Coturnix japonica: one gene and its partners. The protein of the gene in region 5 interacts with the protein of the main gene of each other region in a biochemical or structural test. Links are inferred from orthologs where the notes say so. Each region holds a gene or a part of one and is shown on either strand. Other genes may lie near its edges.

The links. The genes of interacting proteins can lie anywhere in the genome.
Region 1: the proteins of DLG1 (region 5) and KCNJ2 form a complex in vitro, tested with the Homo sapiens proteins (2 studies listed by BioGRID and IntAct, with this or other methods). The link is inferred for Coturnix japonica from reciprocal best matches to the Homo sapiens genes DLG1 and KCNJ2.
Region 2: the proteins of DLG1 (region 5) and GUCY1A2 interact in a test that uses a peptide from one of them, tested with the Homo sapiens proteins (2 studies listed by IntAct, with this or other methods). The link is inferred for Coturnix japonica from reciprocal best matches to the Homo sapiens genes DLG1 and GUCY1A2.
Region 3: the proteins of DLG1 (region 5) and TANC1 interact in a test that uses a peptide from one of them, tested with the Homo sapiens proteins (2 studies listed by IntAct, with this or other methods). The link is inferred for Coturnix japonica from reciprocal best matches to the Homo sapiens genes DLG1 and TANC1.
Region 4: the proteins of DLG1 (region 5) and KCNJ4 form a complex in vitro, tested with the Homo sapiens proteins (2 studies listed by BioGRID and IntAct, with this or other methods). The link is inferred for Coturnix japonica from reciprocal best matches to the Homo sapiens genes DLG1 and KCNJ4.
Region 6: the proteins of DLG1 (region 5) and plasma membrane calcium-transporting ATPase 4 form a complex in vitro, tested with the Homo sapiens proteins (2 studies listed by BioGRID and IntAct, with this or other methods). The link is inferred for Coturnix japonica from reciprocal best matches to the Homo sapiens genes DLG1 and ATP2B4.

What each region holds. Positions count from the first base shown.
Region 1 is NC_029533.1:6,094,376-6,097,559, forward strand, and holds KCNJ2 (inward rectifier potassium channel 2), read right to left. Parts: upstream 1,790-3,184; 5' UTR 1,787-1,789; coding exon 503-1,786; 3' UTR 501-502; downstream 1-500.
Region 2 is NC_029516.1:161,689,523-161,693,503, reverse strand, and holds the start of GUCY1A2 (guanylate cyclase soluble subunit alpha-2), read right to left. Parts: upstream 2,801-3,981; 5' UTR 2,656-2,800; coding exon 2,386-2,655; intron 1-2,385. UniProt on the Homo sapiens protein: Has guanylyl cyclase on binding to the beta-1 subunit. Isoform 2 acts as a negative regulator of guanylyl cyclase activity as it forms non-functional heterodimers with the beta subunits.
Region 3 is NC_029522.1:33,247,947-33,251,957, reverse strand, and holds the start of TANC1 (protein TANC1), read right to left. Parts: upstream 2,801-4,011; 5' UTR 2,698-2,800; intron 1-2,697. UniProt on the Homo sapiens protein: May be a scaffold component in the postsynaptic density.
Region 4 is NC_029516.1:46,451,037-46,454,996, forward strand, and holds the start of KCNJ4 (inward rectifier potassium channel 4), read left to right. Parts: upstream 1-1,160; 5' UTR 1,161-1,647; coding exon of another isoform or gene 1,648-1,652; intron 1,653-1,664; exon of another isoform or gene 1,665-3,960. UniProt on the Homo sapiens protein: Inward rectifier potassium channels are characterized by a greater tendency to allow potassium to flow into the cell rather than out of it.
Region 5 is NC_029524.1:10,748,044-10,752,976, forward strand, and holds part of DLG1 (disks large homolog 1), read right to left. Parts: intron 4,660-4,933; coding exon 4,609-4,659; intron 4,398-4,608; coding exon 4,273-4,397; intron 3,161-4,272; coding exon 2,991-3,160; intron 2,381-2,990; coding exon 2,241-2,380; intron 1,553-2,240; coding exon 1,408-1,552; intron 1-1,407. UniProt on the Homo sapiens protein: Essential multidomain scaffolding protein required for normal development. Recruits channels, receptors and signaling molecules to discrete plasma membrane domains in polarized cells.
Region 6 is NC_029541.1:4,878,571-4,882,587, reverse strand, and holds the start of plasma membrane calcium-transporting ATPase 4, read right to left. Parts: upstream 2,801-4,017; 5' UTR 2,666-2,800; intron 2,559-2,665; exon of another isoform or gene 2,431-2,558; intron 1-2,430. UniProt on the Homo sapiens protein: Calcium/calmodulin-regulated and magnesium-dependent enzyme that catalyzes the hydrolysis of ATP coupled with the transport of calcium out of the cell. By regulating sperm cell calcium homeostasis, may play a role in sperm motility.

The DNA of each region.
Region 1 (3,184 bases), on a different chromosome or scaffold from region 5:
GCAACAAAAATAACCCTTTGTGTTCATGTAGTTAGCAGCAGCTTTCTTTAAAAAATAATTATAATAATAATAATAAGGCAGATTCTTGCCTTTGTTATGCCATTAAAAACATTCTTGTTCCCTAGAGAGAAGCATTCTGGAAAAAGTTGAAAAAAAAAACAACAAACAAATAATAATAACCCAACCAAAGCTTGCCTGCAAGTTCAAGTTTTGTAAAAAAATATATACATAATTTATTCTACAACATATGTGCCTTCTGTTCATACTCAGACATGTTTAGTGCTTTGTGTTTAGAGTTCATTCTCTGTTGTCCCTCCTCTGAGGACAGCCCTCAAACCAGCCGGGCTTTTCCCAGGTCTGTTTGCCTTCACGCCGCTCTTCAACAGTACCGTTGTCTGAAAACTGTTCTGGGCCAACTTCTCAGGTCAATGTGCCTTTGACCGATAGGTATTTGTTTATTTATCTTTCCTTTCAACCAAAAGAGAGAGGAATTGTCCGCCAGTCATATTTCTGACTCACGCCGTAGCGGCCGTGGCTCTAGGGGCACTCCTGCCTGGTTGTGATGGTCCATGTCGGGGTGGGTGTCTGTGCTCGTGCTCTCGGGCACCCCCGTGTCGATCTCATCCTCCTCCTTGCTGGTGAGGGCCACCTCGTTCTCGTAGCAAAAGGAGTTTGCATTCGAGAGAATGTATTTCTTTTCTGCTAAGTCTCTGGCACTGCAGATGGGTGTGTTGGGCACTTCGTATGTTTTGTGGAACCTTGAATAGTCCACTTTGTAGTAGTTTTTTTCTTCAAAGAGTACGGGCTCGTAGCGGTGGCCCCAGAGGATTTCATTTGCCAGATATGAGCTGCGGCACTGGGTAGTCATGGCAGTGGCTTCCACCATGCCTTCTAAAATGACTACTATTTCAAAGTCAGCATTGTCCATGTCTTGTTTGCTCAAGTCATACAAAGGACTGTCTTCATCTATTTCATGTACAATTGTAATTGGGGAGACCAGGAATATGCGGTCTATCCCGCTGTCAAACCCTACATTGATGTCTATTTGATCCAAAGGGATGTACTCCCCTTCTGATGTGATCCTGGACTTGAGGAGCTGTGCTCTCACGTGTGCCTCAACCAAGTGGCTTTTCCTCAGGTTTCCGACACGCCACATCAGGCACAGTTTCCCATCTCTCATGGCCACCACGGCATTGTGGCTGAAGACAAGAGTTTCATTTCTCTTTTTTGGCTTAGCCATCTTTGCCATGACGGCACCAATGATGAAGGCATCAATGATGCAGCCCACTATAGACTGGAAAACCACCATGAAAACGGCAATGGGACACTCATCTGTGACGCACCTGAAGCCATAGCCAATTGTGGTCTGGGTCTCAATGGAGAACAGAAAGGCTGCAGTGAAGCTGCTCACTTGCGAGACGCACGGCTTGTTATTTTCCTGGTTCTCCAGATCCCCGTGCAACAGCGCAATCAACCAAAACACACAGCCAAAAAAAAGCCAGGAGAGGATGAATGTCAGGCAGAAGATAACCAGCATCCACCTCCAGCGGATGTCCACACAAGTGGTGAAGATGTCTGCCAGGTATCGCTGTCCCTTCTCACCCACATTAATAAACTGGACGTTGCAGTGGCCATCTTTTTTGACAAAGCGGCTCCTGCACTGCTGCCTGGTATGTACCTTACTTTTTCCATTCCCAAAGCCATTGGCAACGGCCATGGTTGCCAGCTTCATGCCGTCCTCTTCCGAAGACACGATGCTGTAGCGGTTGGTTCGCACGCTGCCCATCACTACTGCTGTGGACTGAGGTGCTTCTGCTTTAGAAAACAGTCTAAGTTTCTGCAAAACCCTTTGGAGAAACAGTTTTGAAAGTTCTAGAGGAACACACACACACAGAAAAACTGGGGAGAGGCTGGAGTCCCCAAAAGCCCTTGGATCAACCAAGGACAGTCTTCTGGCATGCAGAGTTAGCTTAACAAGTAACCGTCATAGAGAGGGCATGGTCTGCAAGAGAAAGAGAAATGTCATATTAGATCCTGGAGGAAAAGGATAATGAATCAAGCCTGTGGGAATCAAGTAAAATCACTCCTCTGGAGTTGCAGGAAGTTTCTTTATTCTTAATGACAACATTTTCTGAAATGCGTGAGAGCTCTGAGCACAGTTCCGTATTGACCAAAGTGACATCATTACTGCAGAGAAGCCACCACTCTTCCCAAATGAAAGCCCTGAAGTGATCATGTCGCACAAGTCTCTAAGCAGTATTCACTTTAAAGTCGGGCATGCAAAGAATCTATCTACTGTTTGCAACGGGGCTTTCTGTTTATTTTGCAACAAAGAACTGGCATTAGCCTCCCTCTGTTCAAATAATACTGAAACAGTTTTTTAACGACGTGCAGTGTCTGTCTCCTGGACTGCTTTACCTATGTCAAACAAGGGAGTGTGCAGAGGGAAGACAACATGTACTGAGAACAACAATAAAGTTGGAAAATGCAAATATCAGTTATTTCCATGAGATTGCACTGCATAGAACTTAGGTTTTTCTATTAAGTGGGAGTTATAAAAGGAATCATGGGTTTTCTGTGAATGGTAGGAAAACAGGCTGCATCAGTACCTCTAACTCCATCAACTCACTGCGTCCGAGCTGGTTTTTACATTCCCATTAGGGTGAGTTGTAGGGAGCAAACTAAACATTGTAATGACCCTCTGTGAGTGGGAATGGCAGAAGGCTCCAGTGGTGGGACTGGATGGGGGTAGGACTGGATGGGCATCTTCAGAACACCTCAGGGTCTCAGATGCCAGCAACTAAGGCTCAGCAGAGAGGCTGCAGAACTTTCTTCCCAAGGGTAGAAGCTACTAGACTTGTTTCAGGGAGGTCTGGCTTAGACCCAGGTTTAGCTTTTAACAAGTGCGTCATCCATTAAGTCATGTACTGTATATCAGGAAATGTAATTGAAATACTGCAGAGGATAGGAGATGCATTAATGCAACTGCTCCATCCATACATTCACCTCATGGAGGAAATAAAACCAAAACCAAGCAGCGAGGAATGTCTGCTATCCATTTACCCTAGGAGAGGAGACTTAAGTACTGTTTACATTGGTGGGGGATTAAATCACCATCCTCTTCATAAATCAATATAATCAAAACTCATCTGAGTTTGTCCCGAACCCAACACATCTATCGCTG
Region 2 (3,981 bases), on a different chromosome or scaffold from region 5:
TCACCCCTGAGCTCTCTGCATGCATCTCTGCAGCACTAGACACACACAGAACATGGAGATACAGTGAGAAATTTTGACTCAGCATCTCAATCCCAGCTGTTACCAAAGGAAAGAACAAAACTAAGTATTGGCATCAGGAACCTGTAGCGTCCTTCAACTTTGAAAGTGTTCAGCACTGGGATGTGAACAGATTGCTGCCGTATTAAGGCTAAAATGCACACACTGAGCCTCTGCTGGCAAGATCTATTTTATATATATTCACACACACTCTACATACATCAGTGCTTCCATACTTAACAGAAATCTTTATGGATTTACAGAATGAAGACATACCTACATCTGCATCAAAGTATTAGAGCTCAGAAAGAACAGTTGTAAGTGCACCCTTCCAATTTGCCTTTAAATTTTAAAAATAATGGGAACGACTCTAATTCAGCACTAATTGTATGGCCAGTGTCATTTTTTAACTTCTATCTGAAGTTATTCCTGATTTAGATCAACAGATGTGAGAAAACGATCAGATTCCGAGTGTCAGACAGATGGTAACTGGACTTGTTGCAAGAAAGCATATATTCAGCATCACAGAAAAGACTCTCGAAAATATTAAAGAAGGCACCAGAACAACAAGGCACTTGAAGAGTGATGTGTCGGAGTCAAGAACGAAAAGATGAGAAACCGATTCCTTTCTCATACCAGGATGGCACCAATGTGACTTTCCCAACGTAAATGCCAATGACTGGTGCCAAAATGTGTAAGACAGAATGAAACTGCAGTTACAGTGCCAAGATAATAAAAGGAGTTTGGGAATATTCTATATCATATGAATCACATATTGAAATTAATGAAAATAAAGATCGTTACAGCAGTAAGGATTGGGATAATTATCTCCAAAGGAAACCAATGGAAACTGTTTCTTGGGACATGGAAGTGAGGTGGGATGAAATTTTTGCACTCTTAGCTTCAGTTTCCCCAGGAGCAGGAAGGAAGGAGGACTCCGAGACCGACCCAAGTTTTCTCATCTCTCAGTTCACAGAATCTGTTTATTTTTTCAAACATGTTCAACAATGAATGAAAGCTGTAAAGCCGTAACCGTCTTTTATTGCTTCAGGAGGTATCAGCCAAAGGGATAATACAAACAGTAAGGTTATCTAAAAATACTGCACTGAGCTACTTCAGAATATTTCCAATATTTCGGGTAACACATGCTCTAATTATACCCCAGCATCATTAACAAATTAAATAGCTTCATTTTTTGGTACTAAAACAAGGCAAGTCACCTGAGATACCATCTATTAATTTCAGCATGACAAGCCTGGGTTCCCAGTGGGGAGATAAAAAATCAATGGGAAAGAGAAGTCTTGGCTGTAAGCGGACGGCTGCCGGCTCGGTCACGCACCGCTAACTTCCCCCATTAGGCAGCCTGGCTGCTCGGATCCAGCCTGTTCGAGCAAGGAAACAGAAAAGAGGAATGAAAAGCAAAGCACACCGACAGCAGATGGTGATGAGATTCAGAAGTCATCTCCAAAGCCGAATAAGAAAAAGCCAAAAAGACACTGCAATGCCACCAAATTCAGCAGATGTGACTGCCGTGCGGATTAGGCTACTTGTTGCAGTCTACGTTCTACACCTGAGCACAGTAAGGTATCTCAGCAAGCAACAAGCGTTCCCTTACAGCTGTAACTTCATGAGGGAAATGTAGTGATGGTCACAGAGACAGCAGTGTAACACAGCTCTGGAGAACGAGCTCCTATTGCATACGCAGCCAGCGCAGCTCCGGAGCTGCTGACTGCAGTCACCCACAGCAGTGCCCGCACGCCTCACACGTTCAGCACCAATTCTGTTCTTTGTGGCATATGCACTGCTTCACTACAGGTGTAGCTGGAGACAAAACCATCAATCACGGACCCCAAAGTGCCCTCAGACGGCTCTTTCAGGAATGTGGGCACATCAGAGAGGCTCAGGGAAATCTGTTGCTGCAGTATTTCTGAGAAGAACACACAAACTTTCTTTTCACCTCGTTCAGCAAGGAAAAACCCTACGAAAACCCTGCCAACGCAAGAACATCTCCTCTGCGGTAAAGAACGAGCATGCTATGCATATACAGACGTGTGTAACTTTTCATACAGAATTGCTGCTAGCACCAGATGGCAATAAGCACTTTGTGACTCCGGATTCTAATGCCGAGAACTCGGCTGGAGTGCGGAGCGGGGCAGCGTGCGCCTCCCGCCGCGGCTGCCGAGCCCTGCGCCGCATCCCGCATCCCGAGCGGACCGGGCCGGTCCGGGGAGCTCCGCACATCGCTCCGGGGCTCGGACTCAGGAGCCGGCCCTGGAACAGCCGTCGGGAACCGCGCATGAGGAGGCCGGGCGGGCGCGGAGCACTCACCGCGGGGGCCGTCAGGCGGCGGATGCTCTCGCCCAGCGAGTCCAGGTTGACCCGCCGACGGCGCGGAACGCGGCGAGCCCCGGCGCTGGCCGCGGCGGCGGCGGCGGCGGCTGCGGCGGTGAGAGGTGGCTCGGCGGGGCCGGGAGGGCTGCGGCTGCCGTTCCAGCAAAGGCGGGACAGGGGACACTCGCCCTCCTCCTCGGGGCTGGTCTCCGGGCAGTCGGAGCCCAGCGAGCTGAAGGACTCGGAGGAGATCTTGCGGCGGGACATGGTGCCGCGGGCCGGCGGGGCTCAGCGCAGCGGAGGGCAGCGCGGGGCCGCGGGGCCGCGGGGGCGGCCGCCTGGCATGGCCGCGGAGCCCCTCGGCGGGGGGCGGCGGTGGATGCGCTCCGGGGCCGCTCCCGGCTCCGCGCTTCGCCGCGCCGCTCCGAGCCGCGGGTGCTGCGCGGCGCCGCCTCGCCGGGAGGCTTTAAAGCGGCGGCGGCGGCGGCTGCCCTCCTCTGCCTCGGCCGCCCTCCCTCGCTCTCCCCTCCCCCGGCTCCCTCGCTGCTCCGCGGGAATCACGTGTTGTTTGGAGCCCTTTCCTCCTCCTCCTCCTCCTCCCTCCTCTCCCCTCCCCGCTCGCCGCCTCTCGCACGCCGCGGCCCGGCAGCAGCCCCCTTAATGCCCCGCTCCCCGGCGCCGCGCTCTCCCCCCCCTCGCTATAGGGATGTCCCCGCGCTATGGGGATGTCCCCGCATTATGAGGGTGTCCCCGCATGGCCCCAACCGTGCCCGGCCGCGCCGCCTCCGAGCCCGCGGCGGTGCTGGACAGCTCCCTAAGCACGGGATGCCGGGGAAGGCGGCCGTGGGTGCCCGGCGCCGGAGGACTTCACTGAACGGCACAGCTAAACCTTAGGGAAATGGAAGGTGGTAAATATCGGAGAAGGCTGAAGGGCTGCCATCAGTTTTCAGAGGAAAAAGTTCTTTTCGGCTCTGACACTGTGGGTTACGTCCGAAAGAGTAACTAAACTCGTTCCCTGTTGTTACAATCCAGCTACAGTACCCATGTACTGTAGAAAGCCCACAAGGAAACATGCCCTCAGTGGTAGAGTTTCATCCAACCATCAAGAAAGACATTCATTCATCTTCTGTTGAACAAAACTTCCTTTGAAAGCAATGCTTTTAAGATCGTTTTTTCTTTACCTGTCCTCAGTATTATAGTATACACTTTACCACCTCATCATCTGAACTATCTGAGTGCAGCCTTGACAAAAGCCCACCTGAGATATTGGGAAGAGCACCGCAGGCATAGAGAGCTTTGGAGGATGGCCCAACACAACCCAAGTTCAGAAGGCCAGGTAGGCAGCTCTCAGAGAGGACATGGCGTGAATCACATATTTCACCAGGACATTCCTTTCAGTGCCACCATCTCTCAGCTCACCAGGTTTCTGTTGCAATTTTCTTCTTTCTCTAGAAATTTATATGGAGTAAGAGAAACAACAGAGCTCCTTTTGTCATGGCACAGTTCTTAAATCTCTGCATCTTGAAGCCTGTGGCTTAAAAGGATGTATCAAAAAGCCAGGGTGGTCCGTGATGCCTTCTGTTGTCTTATAAA
Region 3 (4,011 bases), on a different chromosome or scaffold from region 5:
AGATGAAACTGAAAATCCCATCCTAACTCTAGATCAAATTAAAGAAGAGAAATTAAACGAAGAGCAGATGTACACAGTGACTTGCTGAGCACTGCTGCCAACTGCAACACCAAGATGCACGTAGGAGTGCTCGACTTGACCTCAAAGACGTCTGAATTTCTGCTAACATCAATGCAAAGAAGTTACGCACTGACACTGCTGGGCTGATCTGTGCTTAAGGCCTTGTTAGAATGTGGCGCTGCAGGCACTGTGGTGTGTGCAGCACAGCAAACTGCTCGCTGAGCCCTGCAGCAGCGTCCTGCCATGCACCGGGCACTGTGAGGAGCCCAGCACAGCGCAGAGCGCATCACACACATCCCGGTTAGGGACTATTAACCAGACGGAGAAATAAAACATCCCAGCAGTTACTCTCCTAGCAGCAGAGAGAAACCTGTAACAGGGCCTTGGCATGACTTGGCCTTCTGCTTCCACTCTTACAAAGAACACTTTGGCACAGAGCACCTCCACACATCACGCAGGAAGGCCAGCACTCAGCCCATTAAAGTAATGCAAGCTGTAATGTTCCAGCTCCAAAGCGCCCTACAGATGGAGCCTATGGCTCAGCAGGTCTCCACTCAGTGAGTCGGGGGGGGAGGAAACAAAAAGCCCTAAACAGTATTAGAGAAACAGGACATTCTGAAGTTGGAGCTGTTCCACTCCTATTATCTACATACACAGTGTGTGCTTCAAGAGAGAGGTTTGGAAAGGATGAAAGGTGCCCGTGCAGTGTGCAGCAGCTAGATGGGGCAGAGCTGGTACATCAGCATCACATAACACACCAGATATTTTCCATTAATGAGCAACCAGCTCACTTTCCCCCTCCACATGCCTTACTGTGCTCTTCCTACTATTCTCCCTGCAGTTTTCCAGCAGCACCGCCTCCTATCCACAAGCTGTCTGCATCTTTCCTTTTTATTGCAACAGCCGTGTGATAAATAAACCACGCAGCCCCCACACGGCGCAGGCAATGCTGACACAGCCTCAGAGCTTCCAGATGTGTTACCCAGCGCTGAGCCCTCCCTGCTTCCGGCAGGGCACGGCAATCTGGCTCCTGGGAGAGCCTGAAATACCCAGACTTTGTCAGAGCAGCAGCTCCACAGGAAACCTCTATGGTAAAGCCACAATTATACATCCTGACTTACAGCTATGTCCACCAGCATCGTTACAGCAGCCAGCAGAGCAGGCTGATGCCCTCAGACACAGCAATGTGAAACCCTGCCCATCCATCCTTCATCCTCACAGAGAGACTGAATCCTGATGACAACACAAAGTTCAGCTAAAGATAAACATCGTTCTGTGAAGATTGCTTAGCTGTGTCCAGAACTGTGTGCTCAGACCACAGAGTTGCTATGGCATCGGCTCCAGGCCTGTGGTCTGACACACAAAATGCCTTTTTCCTAAGGACTGTTGTGGGAAGCCGAGCACTTTGGCCGGGCACCAACTATGTTTTGGCTCCCCAGCAGATATCATTTATCGCCACTCGGACATTCCAGTGGTTCTCTGCACTGAGGCAGCAGCACAGCCAGCAGCTCAGCACCATCTCAGCCTGCCCGTGTCACACGGCCCCACACACCCCACAGCAGCGATGGGGCACAGGAACCGCGCTCACGCCTTCTCTGCTCACCAGCATTATTAACATCACGGCACTGTTTTCCCACCCCTTCACCACCGGAGCAGAACAAACAGGAGAGGTGAGGTGAGCTTTTGGCAGCTGCGTATCAAACCACAGCGGGAGGAAATTCTGCAGGATGCGAGATATTGCACCGATTTCCCTTATTTCCTGGTCTTTTTAATTATATAACCATCAGGATGTTTGCTCCAAGCAACAACGGAGCTCACACGGGATTTCTGCAAACAACGAATGTGGGACGAAGGGTCCTGGGGCGGCCGACACCCCATGGGCACATCGCCGCCCCTCGGGGCACCCAGCGCCCAGCACAGCGCCCAGCGCATCCCGCAGCACAGCGCCCAGCACAGCGCCCAGCACAGCGCCCAGCACAGCGCCCAGCACAGCGCCCAGCACAGCCCCCAGCACAGCCCCCAGCACAGCCCCCAGCACAGCCCCCAGCACAGCGCCCAGCACAGCGCCCAGCACAGCGCCCAGCACAGCCCGCAGCACGGCCGGCTCGGGCCGCACAGCGCCGCCGGGTGCCTGCAGGACGGGCCCAAGTACAAGGCAGGAGCGGGGCTGTGCAGCCGGCGGGGCCGGGCCACAGCTGAGCACAGTGCGGTGCTCGGTTACAGCCGGTGCTAAAAGCGGGCACCGAGGGCGCTACCTGCGACCCGGCACTGCCTGCGACCCGGCACTACCTGCGATCCGCCCTCAGCAGCCCGTCCCGGCCCGGCCCTGCCGGCACTGCCCGGCCCCGCCGCACAACTTTGGCTGTCACCGCCGCTGGAAGGAGCGGCCGCTTCCCGTCCCGTCCCGTCCCGCTCCCCCGCACCCAACAGCGGATGAACCAACTTTCCTTCCCGTACTTTCCGCACTTACCGCGGCCGTTCCCCCCCAGCCGCACGGAGCGCGTGCGGGGCGGGCGGAAGCCGCGGCCGAGCAGCGCCCAGGCCGGGCCTTGAGCCCAGCTCAGCTCGAGCTCCCGCCCGGCCCGGCCCCACTCTCCCGCTCGCAGCCCGACGCCGAGGGCGCAGCCCGGCACTCACCTCCTCGGCCGGGCCCGGCTCCGCTCGCCCGGGGCTGCGCGGCCCATCCGGCGCCAGGCGGCGGGATGAGCTCAGCGCCTGCGGGAGGCGGCGAGTCCCCGCCCCGCAGCCCACGGCCAACCTCCAACGGAGCGGGAGCGGCTCCGCGGGGCGGGGCGGGATCCGACACTGCTCGGCCACGGCTCGACCCGCCGGGACGGGCCGCACGGAGCTGGGGCGGGGCCGAGCGGAGCCAGCGCTGCCACCTGCGGGCGGGACGCGGCTGGGGACGGGCTGAGCCGCCTCGGAGCCGCATCCGGCCTCAGCAGCGGAGCCGATGATCGTTCGTCTGAACGCGGCTTGTTCCGTCTCGTCTTCCTCGTACCCTGTTCCAGCTGGGCGGAACGGCACCGAGCTCCGCTGCTCGGGAATGGGGTGCTCTGCTCCCAACACACAGACCGGGAGTGAGGGCTGGAAGGAGCGGCACGGCTGGCAGGATCCGCAAGGAACGGAGCCGGTGGAATAGAAGCAATAGCGACAGAAAGCAGAGTACGTGGAATAGAAGTAATAGCGACAGAAAGCAGAGTACGTGGAATAGAAGTAATAGCGACAGAAAGCAGGGCTGCTCCGCCGCGCCGTGCCCCGCCGGTCTGTGCCCGCCACGGCCACAGGCGGCACCGAGCGCTCCGCACCGGGATCCGCAGCGCAGCGGACACAGGAGCAGCGCCGGGACAGCGGGACCTGCTGCAACCTGCGTCTATTGCCGCGGAACGGGAACATCCGAGCGAACCGCAACGTGACCTGAAGGAATGGGATGCTGCGGTCAGAGCATCAGTGCATTCCTCTGACGGCCGGGAACTCGGTTATGGTACGTCGCTCAGAGATTAAGAATACAGCAATACTGGTTAAAATGAATACCGAGTCCTAAGTATAAAAACATGAAGATATGTTTTCTCTATCAAGCAATGAAATACTCGTGCTGTGTTTTTATGCAGTTAATGGCATTGCTGCAACTTCAGGATCGTATTTGTTTAAAACATGGTTGTGTTTTGTGTCTCTTATTCCTGCTGCGTGTTGACAAACCCTCAGCAGATATGCACAGGAGCTCGCTCCTTGCACGCTCCTTCCCCTTCTGGGCAGGGACATGGTGTGTAGCAGCTCCTGAGCTGCCCCTTCAGAGCAGCGCATTAAGGTGGAAGGGGTCTGAGAACCATTCACCTCAATGCAGTGGTTGGACAACTGCAGCCATGAACGAGCTGTGTGTGATGACGGATGTGTCACAGCAGTCAGACTCCCGGCCTGAAGGACGCATGGATGGCTGAAGGCAACGGCAAG
Region 4 (3,960 bases), on a different chromosome or scaffold from region 5:
TCCTTCCATCCATCTGTCCATTCATCCATCCACCTCTCTGCCTTTCATCCATCCACCAGTCCATCCATCTGTCCACATCTCCATCCAACTTTCCATTCCTTCTTCCCTCTTTCCTTCCTTTTTCTGTCTCGTTCCTCCATCCACATCTCCTCCTCTCATCCATCCATCCATTGAACTCTCTATCCATCCTTCCCTCCCTCCATCCCTTCTCCCCACCCTCCCAGCCCTCCATCCAACCGTCTTCTCCATCCCCACAGCAGCACTGGGAAAGGTTGGCGGAGTGGGGCTATTTTTGGGACTGTCTCCTTGGCAACGGCTGCCACCACCGTCTGTGGTGGCTTTTCCATAGGTGCTAAAATATTCCACGCTTCTTATTAAAGACGGTGCCGGTGGAGACGGGCGGGGGTGGCGAGTGTGAGCCACCCCACTGCTGGGGCCATGGAGCCAGGGATGGCTGGGGCATGGCACGAGGACAGCTAGGGGTTGGTGACATCTTTGTCTGTGATGTCCCATTGTCCATCCCAAAGGCCCAACCAAGCTGGTTGCACAGTGCATGGGTGCAGCTGTTTGTCCGTGTGGGGGAACCACCACCATGGTCGTGTGTTCCTCCCCATCCTCAGCAACACAGTGAGGTTTTTGGGATGAGTTGAGGCACTGCAAGGTGGTTTCACCCCTTGGGGTGCGAACACCATGGTCACACTGGGATGTGTCACATCAGCCTTGGGCAAAGATGGGGCTCCCTATGGGATAGAGATGACCTCCAACTTGGTGTCCCTAAGCATGGGGCTCCTTATTGGATGGGCAATGACCCCCAGCCTGGGGACTGGGATAGTAGGGACAGAGGGGTCGGACAACCCCATCCAGCTGCAGGGAGCAGCAGTGCGGAGCTGTTTGCAGGATGTTGGCTGCTCTCCCTGCTTGCAGCTGTGGACGGATGCTGAGAGGTGCTAAAAATATTCTCTGCTCCTCCCGGTGAGAGTTCTCCAGGAGGTGACCTGGAAGCCCCCGAGATGCCTCCGGGGAGCTCCCAGCAGAGACAATCCAAGGGGAGCTGAGTCCTTGCCTGGAGCCAGGTCTCAGCCCATAATGTGGGGTCCTGGTGGGAAAATCCTACAGTTCACGGCCGGGGTATGTGGCCACTCCATTGTCCCCACTGCTGATGGATGCTTTCCCGTCTCCCCCATGGCAGCTCGGCAGTGCGTATCCATGGCTCTGAGATCACATGCGAGGATGGGCTAAAGTAGCGGAAAGCTGTTGGATCCTACCACAGAGTTACTGACTTCTTAGCTACAGACTGCATAGCAATCAGAGAGGGGGAGAGGGAGCCAGGGAACGGGAGCAGGGAGAGGCGGCGCAGAGATTTTGGGGTGAGAGCAGGGAGGTGCAGAGAGAGGACTGAAGGGCAGAGGGGACGAGGCAGGAGGGGGAGAGCAGAACCGTCGCTGAGAGCTCGTGGGATGGATGGGAGCGAAGCACGCTGAGCGGAGGAGGAGAGGAGCTGGGCACGGTGAGCTGGGGCTCCTCAGGAATCCAACAACCCGGAGCTGCAGAGAACCCACTGGGTGAGCCCAGGAGCTCTGGGGCACGATGGAGACGCCGACTGCTGACCCCATCCTCTGACTCTGGCTCCCAGGCGGCCCCAGCACGATGCGGTAAGAGATGCCGGGCAGCTCCCGGTGCAGCAACGGGAGGTTTTGCCTGTGAAAATGCTGTCGTGCTAGTGCTGAGGAAGGCTATAAATATAACTTAGATGTGAGTAGCTTCATGTGAATGTGTCCGTGAATAGCAAAGTTGCTGTGTGCGTGGCAGATGTAAATACCGCTAACAGAGCGTGACGGTGTGGAGGGCACCTCCTCGTCAGCCTCCCCAACTTTCCTCCTTTGCCCTGCAGGTAACTTGTGTGGTTTTTCAGTGCTCCCTCACCCCGGCTCTTGTTTGCTTTTTCCCTATCCATCCCTATGGACCAGCCCTGCACCGTGGCGTCCATCTGTGTGCGCTGCTCTGGGATGGGTCTCTCAGCACCAGGAAGCTGTTCTCCAAGCACAGTCTGCACCCAGGGTTGAAGTGTCCCCCTCTAAGCTTAGAGATTTTGGGGGTCCAGACCCAACCCTTCCAGCTCACAAGGTCCCAGCTCAGCTCTTGCTTGGGGTGGTCCAATGTCTCCAACAGGCACTGCCAATAGGGGTTACTCGGTGGTGTTGGATGCATGGTGGAGGTGATGGGCATCACCACTGTCAGCTTGTGGTCACCAGAAGCCTGAAAGGGGATGGGGAGGTGTGCAGGGAGCGTGGGGACATACTTGTATCCATTTGGCACTGGAAGCAATGTCTGAGCACCCCAACACATGGTCACCTCAGTTTGGGGCTGCTGACAATGATAATGACACAAAGGATAGAAGGAATGGACTCAGCGATGGGTTCCTTCCAACTCAGGATATTCTGCAATTCCATGGTAGGAATGTGGGCTTCTAGAAGGGAAACTGGTGGTGAGGAGGAGGAGGGATGGAAATGGAAGGGATGGATGGGAGAGGGTCGGTCTTCTCATGCTGCAGCCTTCCTCTCCTTCCACCATTCCTCCTCCCTGGGGCGTGCTGCCCGGAGGTGTCCCCCAGGCATTTGGCTGCCTGGTTCCATGCTGCCCACCCATCCCTGGTGTGGCACCACCATGGGGCAGTGGGATGGGGGATGTAGTGACGGCCAGCGGCACTTCCATCAGCACCCATGTGGAGCAGAGCACTTAATTGCAATCCGCCTTCAGCAAATTCCCACTTTCCTGGGTCACTGCATTATGGCATTGGGTTCGTTCAACCCGACGGCGACCGGGGATCGATAGATGGACGTGCCTGTCTTCGCAGTCAATCCCTGCTCACAAACACAACCACCTTTCTGCCAATGGCACTGGTTGGACACAGCTCTCCTGCAAGCAACTGTGTTGGATATAGGACCAACGAATGGATATGGTTCTCCTGGAGCACCGGGGGCTCTGGGGAGGAGGGGACAACACTGGGAGGTGTGAGAGCAGTGGGGGCTGGGGAGGGGGCTCAGCCTCTGCTCTGGCTGTGTCAACCTTCGTGCGTAGCCCTTTTTTATCTGTTTTCTGCCTTTCTCTCCCTTTCTCTCCTCTCCCCCCTCTGTCGGTATGTGGGCTGATCACTGCTCAAACTTTTAATTCAGATGGTAATTGGAATAATAATACGGGCAGAATCCTTCTGGCTCTGTTGCTGCAGCTGGCTTCGGGGAGCTATGAATAGCTCTGAGTCACACACTGAGAGGCTTCAACTTCAGATCATTTTGTTTTGTTTTCATATTACCCGTGCCCGGGGCTTCACAGGGGGGAAATATCCCCTCACTCGCTCCACCCCGAAATGCAAACAGGGCAGAGGGACATATGTGTCACCCAATGGGGGAGCAGGGGTCAGCTCACCGTGATTGCGGGCACACGGGGACTGCTGGCACCCACCCGATCTATTTATAATTATTGAGAGAAAAGGCAGCAGCATGTCTATATAAATGGCGCAGAGCTCCCTCCCCTCACCTGCCCCATGCCATGTGCCTTTTGCTCTCCTGCATGGCTCCAACACCCTCGCTAATGAGATCTAGGGTTAATGAGAGGCACTGAGCCCACATGTTAGCCCACATGCAGGGGCTCAGGGAGGGATGGGGGATGCTGCAGGTGTGTAGTTCTGCTTGAGCCTGGGAGTCCCCATAGCCAAGGCATCCCCATAAAAGGGGTCTCCATACTAAGGGCTTCTCATACCAAGGGGTTCCCATACCAAAGGGGTCCCCGTACCCAAGGGGACCCCATACCCAAAACATCCACATACCTAAGAAGTCCCCATACCCAAGTGGCCCCCATACCCAAGTGGTCCCCACGCCCAAGGGGTCTCATGCTCATGGGGCTTCTGTACCAAGAGGTCCCTGTACCCAAGGGGTCTCTACACCATGGGATCTCCATACTGAG
Region 5 (4,933 bases):
AAATAATCTGGGATGCTGAGAAATTAGTAAATATGACATTTGCTAATATCAGGTATCACTGCGTTATCAGGAGCTGGCAACTTTATCAGGAACCAGGTCCTTCTCTACCTTCCTCTCTCTGCCTCTGTCCCCCAAAATAGATTAAAAATAGTAAACACCCCAATGATCAAAGGAACAGGAGTAATAGGGAAGTTACTTTTACATTTGTCATATCACTATCCACAAAAATGCAATCAAATCACTGCGATACTACCAGGAACACTACAGATCAGGTCCTCTCTGTTCCAGAAAATCTAAATTCTATATGAGAAGACAAAAAATGCAATGGAGAAAAAAAAAATCTCTTTCCCACAGAAACAGTGGGGAAGGCTGAATCACCAGATAAAATAGATCCCATAAGGGAAAATGGCTGCTCCTTCATCATTGACAATAGCACAAAACAGAGGATGAAAAAAATAAGGCTGAAATTTAGTTTTGTATCAGTGAATGGAGCCTTCTAGAACATCATTTTAATAAGACAGTCAAGACACAAAACTTATCTCCATGTTGCAATTCAACAGGCTTACGAATAGATTTACAGTTACAGTAGCCATCACCAACCAGGTGATATAAGGCTTATAAGGCACTTCTATCCTTCGTTTATTGCATTTTTGTTACTGCTCATTACATACTGGTTTAGATTACATCACTGCTTTATTCCAAGTGTTCCTTTTTTCATATGAGGTACTATCTGAACATATCAGTGCTAAGTATCTGGTATCTATTAACTGCATCTAACAGTGAAATAAACAAAGAAAAACCCTAAAACAGGTTAAAAAAACAAACAAAAAAAACCAACAACATGCTGCTTTTTCCCCCAGCACCAACTTATGGGAAGAGATGAGTACAAGTGGTTCTCAAGAAGAGTCCACATATTTTTTATTACTGGATAAATTCAATAAATAGATGGCAAATAACATATTTGAAAATGCTTTCTACAAATTAATAAGGAAAGGTTTCCTCACTCCTACTTCAGAATGTTTGGTTATGGGGGAAAAAATGAGTCTTTGAGTGAGTGAAATAGCAGCTGAACAAAAGGTCAGTCTGGGTTAATAGAAAAAAAATCTTGTTTTCCAATATAACAGGAAAAAGTATTCACAATATTTAATACAATTTATATGATTTATTACAGGCTACTTAAGAGTAAATCCTTTTGATATTTTAAGTGTTTCACAGTAGCACTAGAATTTGCATCAGCAAACAGCAGTATCTTTGAAGTGAGCTGCTTCTGCAGTTGCTACCATAGTTTTAATCAAATTTACATAACAGAGAGGTTTCATTTTAAAAAGCTTTACACTTAAAGTACTAAAATGAAGTATTTTAAAGCCTTAAAGAGAAAAATACACCATGAAGAAAAGCTGAACTTACAGTTTGTGATGTCAGGAGGGGCGTAACTATCATTAATAAACATGCTGGTGGGTTTTGCAACTTTCAGATAAACAAAGTCAGAAGTGTTTTTTAAGGCAGTCACTGCTTCTTCATGAGTAACTTCTTCTAAGCAAACACTATTCACCTAAATATAAAAAAGAAACAAATTCCAATGCAAAAAAAAATGCAGGTTTTCATGACACTGAAGTCTCCTAAAGCAATCCTAGCATTGGGAGTCCTTATTATGATTCATATACCAAAGGCACAAGTGGCCCAACTATGTAAAAGATTCTGCGTAGTGCTGCGAAATATTATAAAATATGGAATATTTTAAAATTATATAAAATGCCTTATAGTATGAAATATTATTAAAACAGAAATAACAAAAAGCTCTGGATATTATAGTAAACTGTACTGACAGTAACACTGAAAAAGAAGAAAACATGATTTTGGAAAACAAACAAGGCAAATATGACATCACAAATTTCGTAAGCATACACAAAGCTGCCTCCCTTTTTCTTCACTTCTTGTTTTTAATTCATCCTCTCTCCTAGTTGGAGAGCAATCCAAATCAGAGCTAAGTTCATACTACTAATTATCACAGTGATCAATACCCAAGTTATGTTATGCTACCTCAGACAGCAAACTTTTAGATTCATGTTTTATCACTGGTACACAGATATGCACTTCCTATGATGCAGATTTAAAATCTTTTTTAATATTTAGTTCTTCAAAGTTCTCCCCTAAAACATAGCTTAATCACAAACTGAGTCGTGTCCTTCCTGAGTCTAAAAGTAAATAGACATAAAAAAAACACTGCTGCTTTTACTTACAGCTAAAAGTTTGTCACCAATTTGAAGTTTTCCATCTTTGTGGGCTGCCCCTCCTTCAATGATTTTGGTTACATAGATGCTGTTGTCTCCAGGTATATGCTGATTTCCTACACCACCAGCAATACTGAAACCAAGACCTGCTTGAAGATAAAGTCATTAGTCAAGAAACCTTATAGCATTCCCTAGATGCAAATGACTGTATGAATAGTAATGCTACCTATACCATCCATGAGTAAATATATATAGAAATACTAGCCTGCAGCCAAAGAAATACTGGATGCCTTTCCAAGTGAACTCTATGATTTTCCAGAAAGTTTTGGAAAAGATTCAACATTCACAGAAGTTCTGAAAATCTAATCATCTTCTTCATGCATTGTGAAAGACACACGAAGCAAAGCTATAACACCATAACTGATATTTTAATAACTGTTTTCCAACATATCCACATATACAAACAAAAGAATACACTAAAGCTTTTTGTAGCCTCTCAAACATACTTGAAGATTATTAAATACTACCAGCAATACAATTGAACTACACATTCTTGAAAGTTCAGTAAAAAATACACATTCTACAAGAACAGCTTCAGAACAAACATGGATGAAAATCTGTGATATGTCTGCCTTAACTGGCATTATTTTGCATCTCCTAGAATTTCACATGCAACGTACTGTGTTCTTTAAGTTCTAAGTGCAGAAATGTATCATCAGCTCTATCCATCTCCTGAGGTGTTTTAGGCTTCCTACATACCTTTGGGGCCTTTCACAAGTTTTATTTCCACTATTTTTTCTGTCACTGGTTTTCTTCTTTTGACATACAATCGTACAATTGATCCCGCTTCTTTTAATGCTTCAACTGCTTTGCTGTGTGTCACGTCACGAACATCAACCTCATTTACTCGTAGAATACAATCATTAACCCTAGAGACAGCAATATTCATGTTCAGCTGTTGTGTTATAGCAGAGCAGACTCATTAGGAGTCCAATATTCTATTGAAAATACACTAAGACACGTTAACACAGTCAGATACATAGATTCTGCTTCAAAATTAAAGTAATTCAAAACAACGCTATAAAATTAAACATTGATGCTTAAAAATAAAACAAAGATAACTGGAAAATATCTAAATGGAATATTTAGTCAGAGGATACTCTTTAGATGAAACAAAAGATAGAATTTTGAAGATGACTTCGTACGAAATACCTTTCATTTAGAGCTATAAAAAAGAACTTAAAAGTCATACCCTGGGCATTATATAGTGGGAATTCACTAGTTTTAAACTATGATATGAACAAGTTGAGCTCCTTTCCTGCTTTCCACAAGCTATTTAAGTGCTGGCTTTTCTTTCCATTTAATGTGTTGCTGTAGTAACACTGAGCTCTCATTACAGTAAGTAGAATGTCTGACCCACTTGTCCCTAAGTTCTGCCAGATGTATCTTCTGACAGTGCCAAACAGGCTAAAACAAAGTCCTGAAATAAGCTTAATAAGACTAAAACACTTAAGTCATCAGGCGTTTGCACAAAATAAGGTAGGGACAAGTTCTCCAGAGAACAAGACACAAAAAAGCCAGGCTTCCAAACAGCTTTTCTTGTTTTATTTTTCCTCTATGCAGTTACACAAGAGTTTATTGAAAGACAGCTTGATATTTAAAAACAATTTCAAATAATTCATAAAAGCAGTTTGTTATTAATATGCAATTTCAAGTTGCAAATATCACTTGCTACTATCTAATGGTGAATGAACACTTCCTTACTAGTAGGTAAGTAGTCATCCCATAAATAAATAAGAAAATAAGGGGTGCTACAGAATAACTCTATCACTTTAAACAAAATTATGGCTATTGAGGATATGTAGTATCTCTGAAAAAATATGGCACAGAATGAAACCAAGCATACAAGAGAGCAATTGCTAAGCTCAACTTGTTTAAAATGCAACATAATATGATAATTGAAGCAAAGAGAAAATGTTCTATCAACTGTTTGACAAACAATAATAAACACTTAGCAACCCAATACAGGAAGTCGTCATACCGTAATCTTCCATCCTGTGCAGCTGCACCTCCGGCTATAATTTTTGTAATGAAAATACTTGAATCATCCCCAATATGTGGGTTGTCTGTGCCACCTGCAATGCTGAAGCCAAGTCCTGAATTGCCCTAAAGGTAGAAGGAGGAAAAATTATCTACTACTTTTCTTGAGAAAAAATACTGTACCTGTTTCAATATAAAACTAAATTTATATCATCTAACTGATAAAAAATGTTAAAAGAACTGTCAGTTTGTGATACTAAAATATGTTGGTTTTTCATATTTATGCGTTATAAGCCCCGCATGACAACAAAGTACAGGAAGACATTTAGCATCTTACCCTTTCAAGAGTAATTTCTTCATACTCGTAATCTGCATCTGTGCCATTGACCTAAAAAGAAACAAAACCAAGACTTAGAGAACTTCACACATTCTACAATACAATTTGCTATTCTGGCAGCTCATTCCAAACCAAATCTCAGCTGGTTGGCACTGATCAGTGAGCACAGGAGTGTGAATTTTCACACTGCTCTGTTCATGCATCATCAGGACACTTTCTGTATTAGCTTAAATGTAAAGCTTCCACAGGCAGACTGCTGTACATGGAACCTGTAAAGTAGAAACCTATTTCTGACTTCCTGAATAAAGCGCTCTTGCTGTTCCTC
Region 6 (4,017 bases), on a different chromosome or scaffold from region 5:
ACACGCTTGGGACATTAAAAATAATACAGGGACAGAGATTTTCACACAACCCGTGGATGCCAGAGCTCCGCTGGTTCCCAGCCCACTGCCGACTCATCCCTGCCACGGAAGGAAAAGTTTCTCCGTCAGCACAAACCACTGCCAAACCTCCACACCCCGCACGCCACTCCAGGGTCCCCGCGTCCTTCTGCATGTGCCACAGGGATGCTCGTGCCCCACAACCCACACCTCCTGCAAGCAAAGCTCAGCAGCTCCCCAGGGCAGGACGCCGCACAGTGTCTCACTGAGCTCATTGAGCGTCAGGGAGTCCCGTCCTGGTGAGTGACACAGGTGGGTAGCACACCAGCAGTGTGCCACGCACTCTACAAGTGCCAAGCATTTCCTTTTTTTTTTCCCCCTCCCCTTCCCTCCCCCTTTTCCAACTAACAAATATAGAAGTAGGGTCTATAAGACCATGGAAACTCTATTACTCTTCTGCATTAAAGCCAAAAGCAACTCATTAAAACATCAAAGTAGGATGTCTCATCAGCTCAGGAAGCTCCAGCAGGAGGTGGCAGGGATGCAGCTCCCACACAGCCCCACACTGGGCATGAGGAGCCAGGAGCCCCAGGCCGGGGCTGCAACCCCTCCTTACTGCAGGAGCTCTGCACACACTGACCCTGCAAGCAGGGATGCAGAGAGGTGCTCCATCCTACTTAAGCCCGAAGCTCAGAGCTTCTTATACCAGGAGTATCCCCATCACCACAGGACTGATGCCCACTGGCTCAGTGAGAGGAAAGAGGGATGGGCTCCCTCTCCTTGCTCACCCAGTCCCATTTATTTCCCTTTCCATGCACCAATTCTCCACCTGTACAACAGAAGAGACACCGCTGCCTCCACCACCTCAACCAGCCATCAGGCAGCAGCATCCCATGCTCATGTCACATCCCTGGGATCCAATCCCAGAAGCCTCCAAAAAGGCAGAGGAATTTGGGAGACAGCATCACCTCCATGCACTGCAGCAGCCACCCCTATGGATACGCATCCATCGCTCCAGCCATGCTGAGCAGCACAGCTTCCAGATGGCTCAGAGAGCAGCACTGATTTGCAGAACACAGCTGGGAGGGATCCAGGCTGGGGGGAGCAGCCAGCAGCAGCAGCGTCTGCAGCACAGGGCAGCAGATCCCTGCGGGCTGCTCACAGCACTGCAGCAACAGGCGGTGGAAATGTTGTGAGCAAACTGTGCTCACGGCACAGCAAGGGGAAATAAATTTTATGCATATGTATACTCGCGCGGATATACTTATATATGCACAGATTAATTAAGAGAGAGAACGAAAATGGGAGAACGCGGGGAACCAAGGGAAGCTGAGAGGGTGCACGCAGCTCCCGGGGCACCGCAGCAGCCAGGGAAGGCCTCGGGGAAGGGGGAATTCCTCACTCACGGCTCCACCCTGCTGCCTTCTGCCGCACAACAATGGCAGCGCGCAGCGGTCCCTCCCCGCAGCCGCTGAGCCCGGGGCCGGAGCGCCGCACGAGCGGATACGGCGATGCTCAGCGCGGAGCGCAGCGCTCCGGACAGCGGCGGGCGGCTCAGGGGAGGCTGCGCCCCGCGGGGAAGGATCGAGCTGGGCTGGGAGCGGGGAGAGCCGGGGGTGTTAGTTAGCCCCGCTCGTTCGCTGCTTAACGATTCAGGTGCGTTTCGGTGTTCACATTGAGCGCAGCGGCTGCAGCCGCGCAGTCAACGCGAGCGGTTACCGGGAGCGCTGCGCCCATTTGGGGGCGGGAGGGGGGGAATGCAGAGAGGTGCCCCGCCCCGCGGCGCAAACAGGTCCGCGAGCCGAGCAACCCCCCCGCCCTCAGGTCTCCGGAGATAAGAGGACAATAACCCATTGTCCATCCCCTCGCTTCCTCCCCGCCCGCATGCAGAACGACCGGGAACAGGGGGGCCGTGCAGCCCCCGCGGCCCGGACCGTGCCCGCAGCCCCTGCCCCACCCAGCGCTGCCGCAGGCGGGGAGCGGCTCCCAGCCCCGGGCCGAGGAGGAGCCGCCCCTGCGGAACCTCCCGGCGCTGCCCTCGGGCTGCCGCAAGGCGCTCCCCCTCCGACCCCGCTCAGCCTTTCCCTCCGGCCACGGCCGCATCCACGAGCTGCGCCCGCCCCCCCCACGCCGCTCTGCCACGCGGGAACGCCGCGCAACCCCCCCCCTCCCCCGGCTCCCCCAAGGGTTGTTCCCAAGGGCAGCAACAAGTGGTGGGCGGCTGTTACAGCCGGAGCGCTCCCCCCTCCCCACCGCCTCCCTCCCCCCCGCCCGAGTTCGCACAGCCCCGGGGTGTCACGGCCACCCCCCGAACCGCTCCGCGATCCGCTCGGACCCGGGAGATGCGCGTGGCCCCCACGCTCCCCAGATTCCGACGGCAGAACAACTCCCCGTCCCCCCGCTCCCTCCCACCTGCTGCGCCGGTCCCGTGTCCTTCCTCCCAACCGACGTTCCCCCACTGTCTCCAACAGCCGACCCCGCAGCAGCTGCAGCGTTATGGAAGGCGAAACCCGCGCGCTCCTTCCGCGGGACGCTCCCCCCCAACGGAACCTCGAAGGCAGCACCGCCGCCTACACCCGCCCCACCCAAAGGGGCACCCTGGGAATTAACCCCCCCCTCGCTCCCTCCGCCTCGGTCCCGCACTCACCGGCGCGGCGCCCCGTCCCGACTGTCGGCGGAGCCCCCGCGGGCGGCCATAAGGAGGGCGGCGGCGGCTGCAGAGCTAGCGGGAGAAAATGCTTGTCATGGCAACCCGGGCCGGGCCTGCCGGGGGAGGGGCTGCCTTAAGGTGGCGGCCCGCCCCGTCCGCTGCTTAAGGGGGACGGGAGGCGGCGGGCGGGGCTGCGTCCCCTGGGCGCTGCGGGGCGGGTGCGTGCTCGGGCGGTATCGGTGCACCCCGCGGACACTGCCCCTCTACCCCAGGAAGCACCGTCGAGTAGTACAGGTGAACCCCGGTGCCGGTACGTGTACCTCCATACGTCGTGGGCTTCCCCATAGGCAACCCCCACCACCAACCCCCGAGCAGTACAGATGTACACCCAGGAGGTGGGTGTCCGTGCAGTGTCACCCACGTGGAGCAGCTGCAAGCGGTGCACGAACCCGTGGGGACAGAGGACCCCCCTCCAAGCACGGTGGTCCGTGTGTGCCCCCCACCTCGAGCGGTACGTCCAGGGTGCGCGGCTGCAGGGCGGCATTGTGTGCACTCCTGGCACTGCGGATCCTCCCTTGGGCAGTGCAGTGCACGCACCACCAAGCGCTGTGCCTGCACCCCCAAAATCTGTGTACCCCCTTCTGCACATACTGCACCCCTGCTGTGGTGGTACAGATTTCCTCGAGCAGTGTAAGTTGCTCCCTCATGATGGATGCATCTGGGACACCCCCCAGCTCCCCTGGCAGTGTGGTCACTGCAAAACAGGATGCACAGAAAGTCCTTCCTGCTGCGAGCATGGGGCACAAAATCTCTGGAGCAGAGCTCGGGGTTCCTTGTGGTCACTGTCGTTGGTGACATGTGACGGGGGGGTGTGCCCCACCCTGCTACTCATAGGGCACAGCCACTGCTGTCCCTACAGCGTGGGGTGGTGGTGTCACCCAGGAGGGGTACAGCTGCTCCTTGAGGTGCAGAGCATGAATCTCAGCCCCTTGTCCAGGCAGAGCCAACCCTTCCCCCTTTTATTACAGAAGCAAAGAAAAAAGTATGCATTGAAACTCCACTGAAGCCCTGGAAATGCTGTGGCTGCAAGGAAAACGTAACACGGCATTGATGCAGCTATGCTGGTGTAATATTGGGTGTAGGCAACCTTAACTCAGCACTAATCCTGTTGTTTGGGCATGCAACCCAGTTCAAGTCAAACCAGTGTAACATCTGTGCGTGCACAAGCCCTCATTTAACACTTGTAACATTTACCCCTGCCCTTGAGGGCTGCGCCTCAATAACTTTGCATTCCTGAACAGTCCTGGGGGGGGTTCCTCTTTGGGCCTTTGGCAAGGGGATTCCTCCCT